2 linked regions of the Schizosaccharomyces pombe genome follow. The protein of the gene in region 2 interacts with the protein of the main gene of each other region in a biochemical or structural test. Each region holds a gene or a part of one and is shown on either strand. Other genes may lie near its edges. The genes, in order: rna1 and hta2.

The links.
Region 1: the proteins of hta2 (region 2) and rna1 form a complex in vitro, tested with the Schizosaccharomyces pombe proteins (one study listed by BioGRID).

The regions. Positions count from the first base shown.
Region 1 is NC_003424.3:5,029,675-5,033,871, reverse strand, and holds rna1 (RanGAP Rna1), read right to left. Parts: upstream 2,102-4,197; 5' UTR 2,089-2,101; coding exon 928-2,088; 3' UTR 611-927; downstream 1-610. Other genes in the region: RNA polymerase I upstream activation factor complex subunit Rrn10, read right to left, coding at 49-216, 269-394; alpha-1,2-galactosyltransferase Gmh3, read left to right, coding at 3,874-4,197.
Region 2 is NC_003424.3:4,051,617-4,055,185, forward strand, and holds hta2 (histone H2A beta), read right to left. Parts: upstream 1,703-3,569; 5' UTR 1,632-1,702; coding exon 1,236-1,631; 3' UTR 830-1,235; downstream 1-829. Other genes in the region: mce1 (citrate transporter), read left to right, coding at 1-387; RNA-binding protein Rsd1, read right to left, coding at 2,194-2,452, 2,494-2,568, 2,618-2,938, 3,011-3,184, 3,232-3,369, 3,466-3,569. UniProt on the Schizosaccharomyces pombe protein: Core component of nucleosome which plays a central role in DNA double strand break (DSB) repair. Nucleosomes wrap and compact DNA into chromatin, limiting DNA accessibility to the cellular machineries which require DNA as a template.

The sequences.
Region 1 (4,197 bases), 980 kb from region 2:
GAGTCATCTCGAAACAAACGAATGAAAAGTAAAATGTACAAGGATAATTCATCTTTCTTCAAATTCTTCCAAACAATCAGTAACCATAGCATCCATCCATTCAGTCACCAAATATCCCAACCCCAATAAAGCACTTTCATCCAAACACTCGAATGACTTTTTCCCTGTCGCAAGCATGTATTCTGTTGCAAAATCCTGGATGCTATGAACTAAATCCTAAACATAAAAAGATTAGTTAAACAAGTATTGGCAGAAGCTGTGAACTTACAGGATCCGGCAGTTCATGTGGAATTGGAACAGAAAAATCCTGTACTAAATCACGAGCTCTGTAAGACAATTCACCATCAGCATTCACCAAATTATACAAAGTTGGCCGAGTTGGTGGATTTGACATTAATAGATGGCGTTGGACGTAGAGTATGTACTATGCTAGGTGAAGCTTCTAATTCGTCCTTGCAGTAGTACAATCATATTTGGAAACACCAAGCTCAAGTAATGGAATCCCCACATTCTTAAAAGTTAACTGCGACTTACAGAAAATTTATCTCGAGGTTTACAGACATACTGAAAAAATAGTTCAGGCTTTACGACATAACAACAAAACAACTTTACACAGATACAATCCAAACCATATTATATTGACCCAATACTTAATTAAAGTGGGTTATTAATAAAACGTAAAGAACCTTTTCGCCATTTTTGAAAGGGGAATTTTTTTTCTGTCATATACAGATTTAATCTAATACTATTTATCGGTCCTGCCGCGTAAAAAGACAGAATGTTGATAAAAATGCAGAAGGAAATCGAATGGTCGATATAGACCATCCGTTGACCACAATCGTTCATTACCGCCTAGCATGAACAATAGAAATATGTTAAAAAATTTCGGAAACAGCGGAGCAGGGTTCGAGAGGGAAAGTAGTTGCTCTAAATATGAGCTTTTGATAGCTCATCAGCAAGTTCTTTGTCTTCTTTTTCTTCTTCAGAAGTCTCCGGCTCAGGGCTTTGAGACTCAGCTTCTTCTTCTTCATCCTCCTCCTCCTCGTCGGTAAGTTCCTCCATATCATCAAGCTCATCTAGTTCACCACGACCACGGGTGCTAAAGACTTCACGTATTTCATCAACAACATCGTCTTCTTCCGAAAATCTGTTTCCATTTAATTCAAGGAATAAAAGATCCGGCATTTTCTCATCAATCACAGTTTTTAGGGTCCGGACAGCATCCAGCTCTATCTCGTTATACTGTAAGCGTAACGTTTGAAGCCCAATATTTTCTAATTTAGAAAAAGCATCTACAACTGCGGCAGCACCGCGAGCAGATAAGAGACAATCGTTGAGGCCTAGTTCTCGAAGGTTGGGCCAGCTTTTCAACGCGATAGCGAGAGCGCTAGAGCCCAAGTGCGTAAATGTGTTATCTTGAAGATCGAGTACCTTTAGCTCTTGGCAATATGCTAATCCTTCAAGCAATAAGTGTTCAATACCTTCGGGACGGATACCATTTTGCACCATTTTCACTGTATGTAGCAAACGGTGGCTCTGGAAAGTTTTAGCCCATTCTTTCATACTCCCATTTTCTAAACGATTTCTTCCACAAATAATGGAACGCAAGGGAGGTGCATTTTTAGCTTTCTTGTTGACCGCCAGCTCTTGCAAGGCACGAGCAATTTTTGCGCCAGCTTGAGGACCGAGTCCATTATTGTGTAGGTAAAGATGCTCCAAAGGTGTGTGTTTTGAAAGAAAGTCAATCAAGGGCTCCTGTGCAGTAGGGCCAAAGGCATTATCGCTCAATCTTACAGTATGTAGTTTTGGGCACTTGAGTAAAGCTTGTAGCAACAGACGTAAAGCCTCAGGAATTTCATCTTTGACACGTCCAGTAAAGATATCACTAAACTCTGCAATTTCTAAATCTTTTTTTGAGGCAATATTCTCTGACAACCATCTAGCAGCTTCGGTTCCAATTGTGTTACCAGACAATACAATTTCCTTTACAGAATCATCTTCTAACAGAACAGCAAATACAGACTTCTCGTCTTCAGTTGTAATTGCATCTAATTTCAAAGACTTCCCTTCTATTGAAAAACGCGACATGGAGTTGGTTGTTGAAAGAAAAAATATAGCAGGTATGGTGGTGAGGAAAGATTGTGTGAACTAGCTGTGTATGTTAAATTTGATCGAGGATAGATGCTTCAGTCACTTGAATTCATGGCTTTTAAAAAAGAAACTAAAATAATATTCAAAGTAGAAGAAGAACGAAATTTATCCTCTTTTGACGGATACCCCCTTTACTCAACCTGTTTTTATTTACAAACTCAAATGCGATCTCTCGCTAATGAGTTTAATTTTAAGACGATTCTATGCTATTAGAAGTCATTTAAATTATTAGATCAGATTAGCGCAAACCGAAAGATACTCAATGTCGGAGTGGTGCATTAGTGCTCGGATACGTTCCTGAAAGACATGTATAAAACTTTTGTAAATAGGATGATTGAGCTTTTTTGACATTTATCTATCATTCATTTTTGAAAAAATAGCTGTGACAATCCTGTTGCATATAGTTTGTTTTTTTGACTAAGTATAGAGGATCTTATGAAGAACCTTTTTGAGTGACCTTAGTCCTGAATTCTTAGCTTAAGTTTGCTTTAACTTAATTGCATTTCTAGCAATTAACATTGCTAGATTTTTGCCTCATCGCTAGTCCATTTATAAGAATACGAAGTTGAACGAAGGAATATTGACCAAAAGAGCTTGGTGACTTCCAAAAAATGAAGAATCAAAAAGATCTGAAATGAGTATCCCTATCTTTCAGCTTTCCGCTTGTTTCGTGATCATTTCAGTTACTCACACATATACATTTATGAGTTGACCCAAAAAGAAAATCGGAAAGCGGGAGTTTAACAGATATATGAAAAATCAAGATAATAACAACAATTGATATTTTTAGTTTAACATTTCTTATTCATTACTGTGAAAATCCACGAGTCTGCACTCTAGACACATAGAATACTCTTTAAACAGCTTTCACATTATCAGGAAAGCTATTCCATTGATACTGTATTCTTTTCAGTAAATTAATTCTCATTTCATAGTTGTAACCATTCTCGAATTGGACTTCAGTCCGCATTCCAGTACTTGATCTGCTTTACCTGTTTCAACAATTTGAATCGTTTGATTATTTTCCCATTCAATCATGACATTGATTTAGACGTATTGCTGAATTAAGCCATTCCTGTTATTTGTCCCAACGTATAAAACTGGTTAAAATGTTTAAGTACTGTGAATCATGTCATTAAAAGTTTGGAAACGTGATTTTAAAGGAACAACTCATTATTTTGAACATAAATCATTACCATACAGATTTTTCTTCTTTTTCTTCTTTTATTATAAATAGGATACGATAAGTAGAGGAAACCGTAAATTTATGATGATTGACTCCATGATGCGGTAATTTCAATCCTTCCACTACACACTGCCTTTAATTCCAGGTCCATCTGGTTAATCATTTTTTAAAGAATCTAATTCATTCATATTTTTTTATTATAATTTACATTATATTTTCAATTTCTTTTTACTGTTTTCTCTCGTTTCTTGAGTCAACGGGCGAAGATTCGTGTTTCAAACGTAGTATTCTTTGGAATATCACAAATCTCATTTTAATTTTTAAAACGGCTTTCTAATTTTCTACCGAGAAAGAGTAGAAAGTTTCCCATTTCATTCATAATTTCTGATCCATTCTTGGTATCTTATTGTTTTGCTTTTATCCAATCTCAGTTTATATTTGTGAAACTTGAAAAAGAGTTTCTCTTGTCTCTAAAAGACTAAATTTTATTTTTTATTTTTTTATTAATTTGCATTTAACATCTGCTAATCTTTAAAATGGCAGTCCTACAGTGGAAGTTATCTCGTGTTATATTCGTGTTGTTAATCATTGGGATTAGCTCTTTTCTCATTTACTTCCAATTTGGAAACTCTTTTTCTGCTTCACCTGCTTTAGAACGTTTACAAGATGTATTTTCCAAACCAAGTGTACAAGAATACGACTACTTAGTACCTCTGGATGAAGATATGCAAGGCCTTAGCACGACGTATCATCAAGCGACAATTAACGAGGATGATCCTCAAGAGCCCAAATCCCATGAAATAGTAATCCTCTTAGCGAGTGATGGACGTTCAAGTGGCAATATGGCACCTGAAACATTT
Region 2 (3,569 bases):
CGTGGTCTCGCTGCAACTGTCGCTCGTCAAGCTGCTAATTCTGGTGTACGTTTTACTGCCTATAATAGTATCAAGCAATCCCTTCAAAGCAGATTACCACCAGATGAGAAGTTGAGTACCGTTACCACTTTCTTAGTCGGTTCTGTAGCTGGTATTATTACCGTTTATTGTACGCAACCCATCGATACTGTCAAGAGTCGTATGCAATCTTTGAGTGCTAGTAAGGAATACAAAAACAGTATTCATTGCGCTTATAAGATTTTAACTCAAGATGGTCTGTTGCGTTTCTGGTCTGGTGCTACTCCCCGTTTGGCTCGTTTGATTCTCAGTGGTGGTATTGTATTCACTGTTTACGAAAAAGTTATGGAAATTCTCAAGCCTTTTTAAATATCCTCGTAAGCAGTGGAATATGGATTTATCCTTGGTTATATATAATTATTGCTTCATTAAAGCAATCACTTCACTGGTTTTGTTCTTTTTTCACATTATCTTCTTTTTATTATTTTATTCTTTCTTTGGTGCTTTATAGATAGTTAGATTATTAAAAATATAACCCCCTAGAGTTTTGAAATGTTTTGTGCTTTGGAAGTATTCATGTTTTGCATGTTTTGAATTGCAACTTCCTAAATGCCCCTGTTACTACTACCATAATTAAATTATACCAATAATAAATCACCAAACTCATTCAAATCCATATATCTGGGTTGATGTTTAGGCACCTAGACAATACGCAGTGTAATTACATGCTACAAGCACCTCAAAAAGTTTAGCGAATATTGAACCAATAGTTCTTTCATTAAAATAAACCTATAATAAACAAATTATGCCTATACAAAGGAAGCTGAAAAAGGAAATGTATAATAAAGGGAAGAGGAAAACACGGAAAGTTCATCAAACGAGAAAAGAAAGCGTCAATCAACCATCAGGAAACCTAACAATCATTCAAACTCGAATAATGTACTGTACAAACAACTAAGCTTGAAACAGAGTATGTAACCAAATAAAAACGTAAGAATTATGAGTCATATGAAAAAGTTTCTCAACCGAATAATGCACTTGTTTCTGTATCACTGATATAATGATAAAACTAAATTTCTGATAGAGAAATTGCGTAAAAAAAGGTGTGAACGAATTAAGTCACGAAACCAACAGTTCAAGCAATTAGTGTGGTATAATAATAGTTAAGTATAAACGACAAATAATCTTAATATACAATTTATCATTCATTTAAGAGTTTAAAGCTCTTGGCTAGGCTTGCCCTTACCAGATTGTTTGGGCAAGAGATGAGCGTTGATATTAGGTACAACACCACCCTGGGCAATAGTAACATGACCAAGTAGTTTGTTCAATTCTTCGTCATTGCGAATAGCCAATTGAAGATGACGGGGAATGATACGAGTCTTCTTGTTATCACGAGCAGCATTACCGGCCAATTCGAGGATTTCGGCAGCTAAATACTCCAAGACGGCAGCCAAGTAAACGGGAGCACCAGCACCAACACGTTGAGCATAATTACCCTTACGCAACAAACGATGAACACGACCGACAGGGAAGGCCAAACCAGCCTTAGCGGAACGAGATTGAGCAGACTTGGCGACTGCGGCCTTACCACCAGATTTACCTCCAGACATGCTTGATAAAGAAATTACTTAAGTTTTAAATTGGAATAATGTATGCAGGATTGCTCAATTGCCCAATATTTAGAGAAGAAGAAGATGATGCAGCGACAAGCTCTTTTATATACAGCAATATACAGGGTTAGGGTTTTGATGGATGTTTATGGGCATTCATCACTGAATGATAGCAGACTCGTTTCAGTGATATTATACTCAGCATTTGGAACGCACAACGAATTTCGTTAAGTATATTTAGGGAATATATAAAAGACACAGTAACTATGATTAGAACGATTGTATACTACCTTATAATATATGATCCTGCAAATTCGTCGAATGTATTTAGTTAGACATAATTAAAATTCAATCAATATATGTACATATTTATGATTTTATTAAACTAAGTATACTCTTAATTTTACGGAAAAAGAAAAGTCTGCTACTAAATATCGACCATCGTAGTTTAAACTAAATATAACAGGACGTGCAAAAGTACAAAAAGCTTTGTTTTAAAAGAACTTTCTGAGAAAAGGTAAAACACATCAATTCCAGAGCAAAGTTTAGTAGAGAGCGACGTTTAAGCAGTTTTGGCATTAGGGAATTTGAAGTAGTAATCCGTTTCCGGTAAAATGGATGCCTTTATTGTACGCCCTCCGAACCAACGTTGATGGAGTCCAGTGATTGCCTTTTCAGCAAAATCGGCATTTTCAAATTTTACAAATATCTGCCCCAATTCATTCGGTACAACAGCAATGTGAACTACTTTGCCGTACTTTTCATCACACTCTTCTTTGACGTCCTGCTCCAATTCTTGCACCCAATTAGGTGATGTTTCCCTTTAAAGGTTAGTCAATTATGAATCATAAAAAAAACGTACTCAGCAGGATTAAACATGTTTTCTAATAATGCACATCTACTACGAATTGGAGGCTCTGGTTCAGATACCAGTTTACTGCTTTATGTTAGAAGACAAAAAGGATCCAAGTTAAAACAAGACATACCTGTTGTCTGAAATGTCTTCAGAGCGTGCTAACTTTTTCATTAGCTCATCTCTTGTAATGGGACGGCTTTCTTCTTCAGTAGGAGATAAAGGAGCTGCTTCTCGATAGTCTTGTGATTCGTAGGTTGATGAACCGCCATTACGTTGAGAAGGTTGACTACGTTCTTGGCGAGCCAACGTTTCGTCAAAGCGCTTCAGCATGGAACTAGTTGTTTCTGTAGTAAATTTATCATTGCCCAAACAAACCCTCATATTTCTTCCGGCTAAATCAAAGCCATTCATTTTCTCCAAAGCATTTCTCGCACTTATAGGATTTCGATATCTAAAAAATATAATGTTAGTGTCGTTGAAGTTAAATAGATATAAATATCAATCTAATTTTTTGAAAACATACTGTATATAACCAAAACCCTTGCTTCGGTTTTGATCATCACGCTGAAGGTGTACAAATTCTATGTCGCCAAAAGGTTCGAAAATTGCCTTAACATCTTCATCAGTAAGGTTGAAGTGAATGTTTGAGACACACAATCTGTGAAATGGAATTTCAGCGCTAGCGGCTCGTGCCAATCTACAAATAAGTTAGACAAAAATAATGGATGCTTAGTAAAAACTTACTCAGCAGCTTCACGAGCTTTTCTATTTTTTTCAGCCTCTGTAAGTTGTACAATGACAGGAAGACCCAACAATCGCTTACCAGAAAGCGCAATAGCCGCCTGTACAGAATCCTCGTGACAGAACTCCACATATGCAACACTATATTATATTCGTTAGCAAACGAACCCAATTTGAAAAATAAAAAAAAACAGAATAATATCTATTTAAAAAAAAAAAAAAAATTATAAGACATACCCTTTCGATCGTCCGCTAATCTTGTCTCGAACAATTTGAGCATCGCGAACAGGACCAGCTTGTTCGAAAAAATCATATAATTCCCTAGAAGTCAAACGATTTGC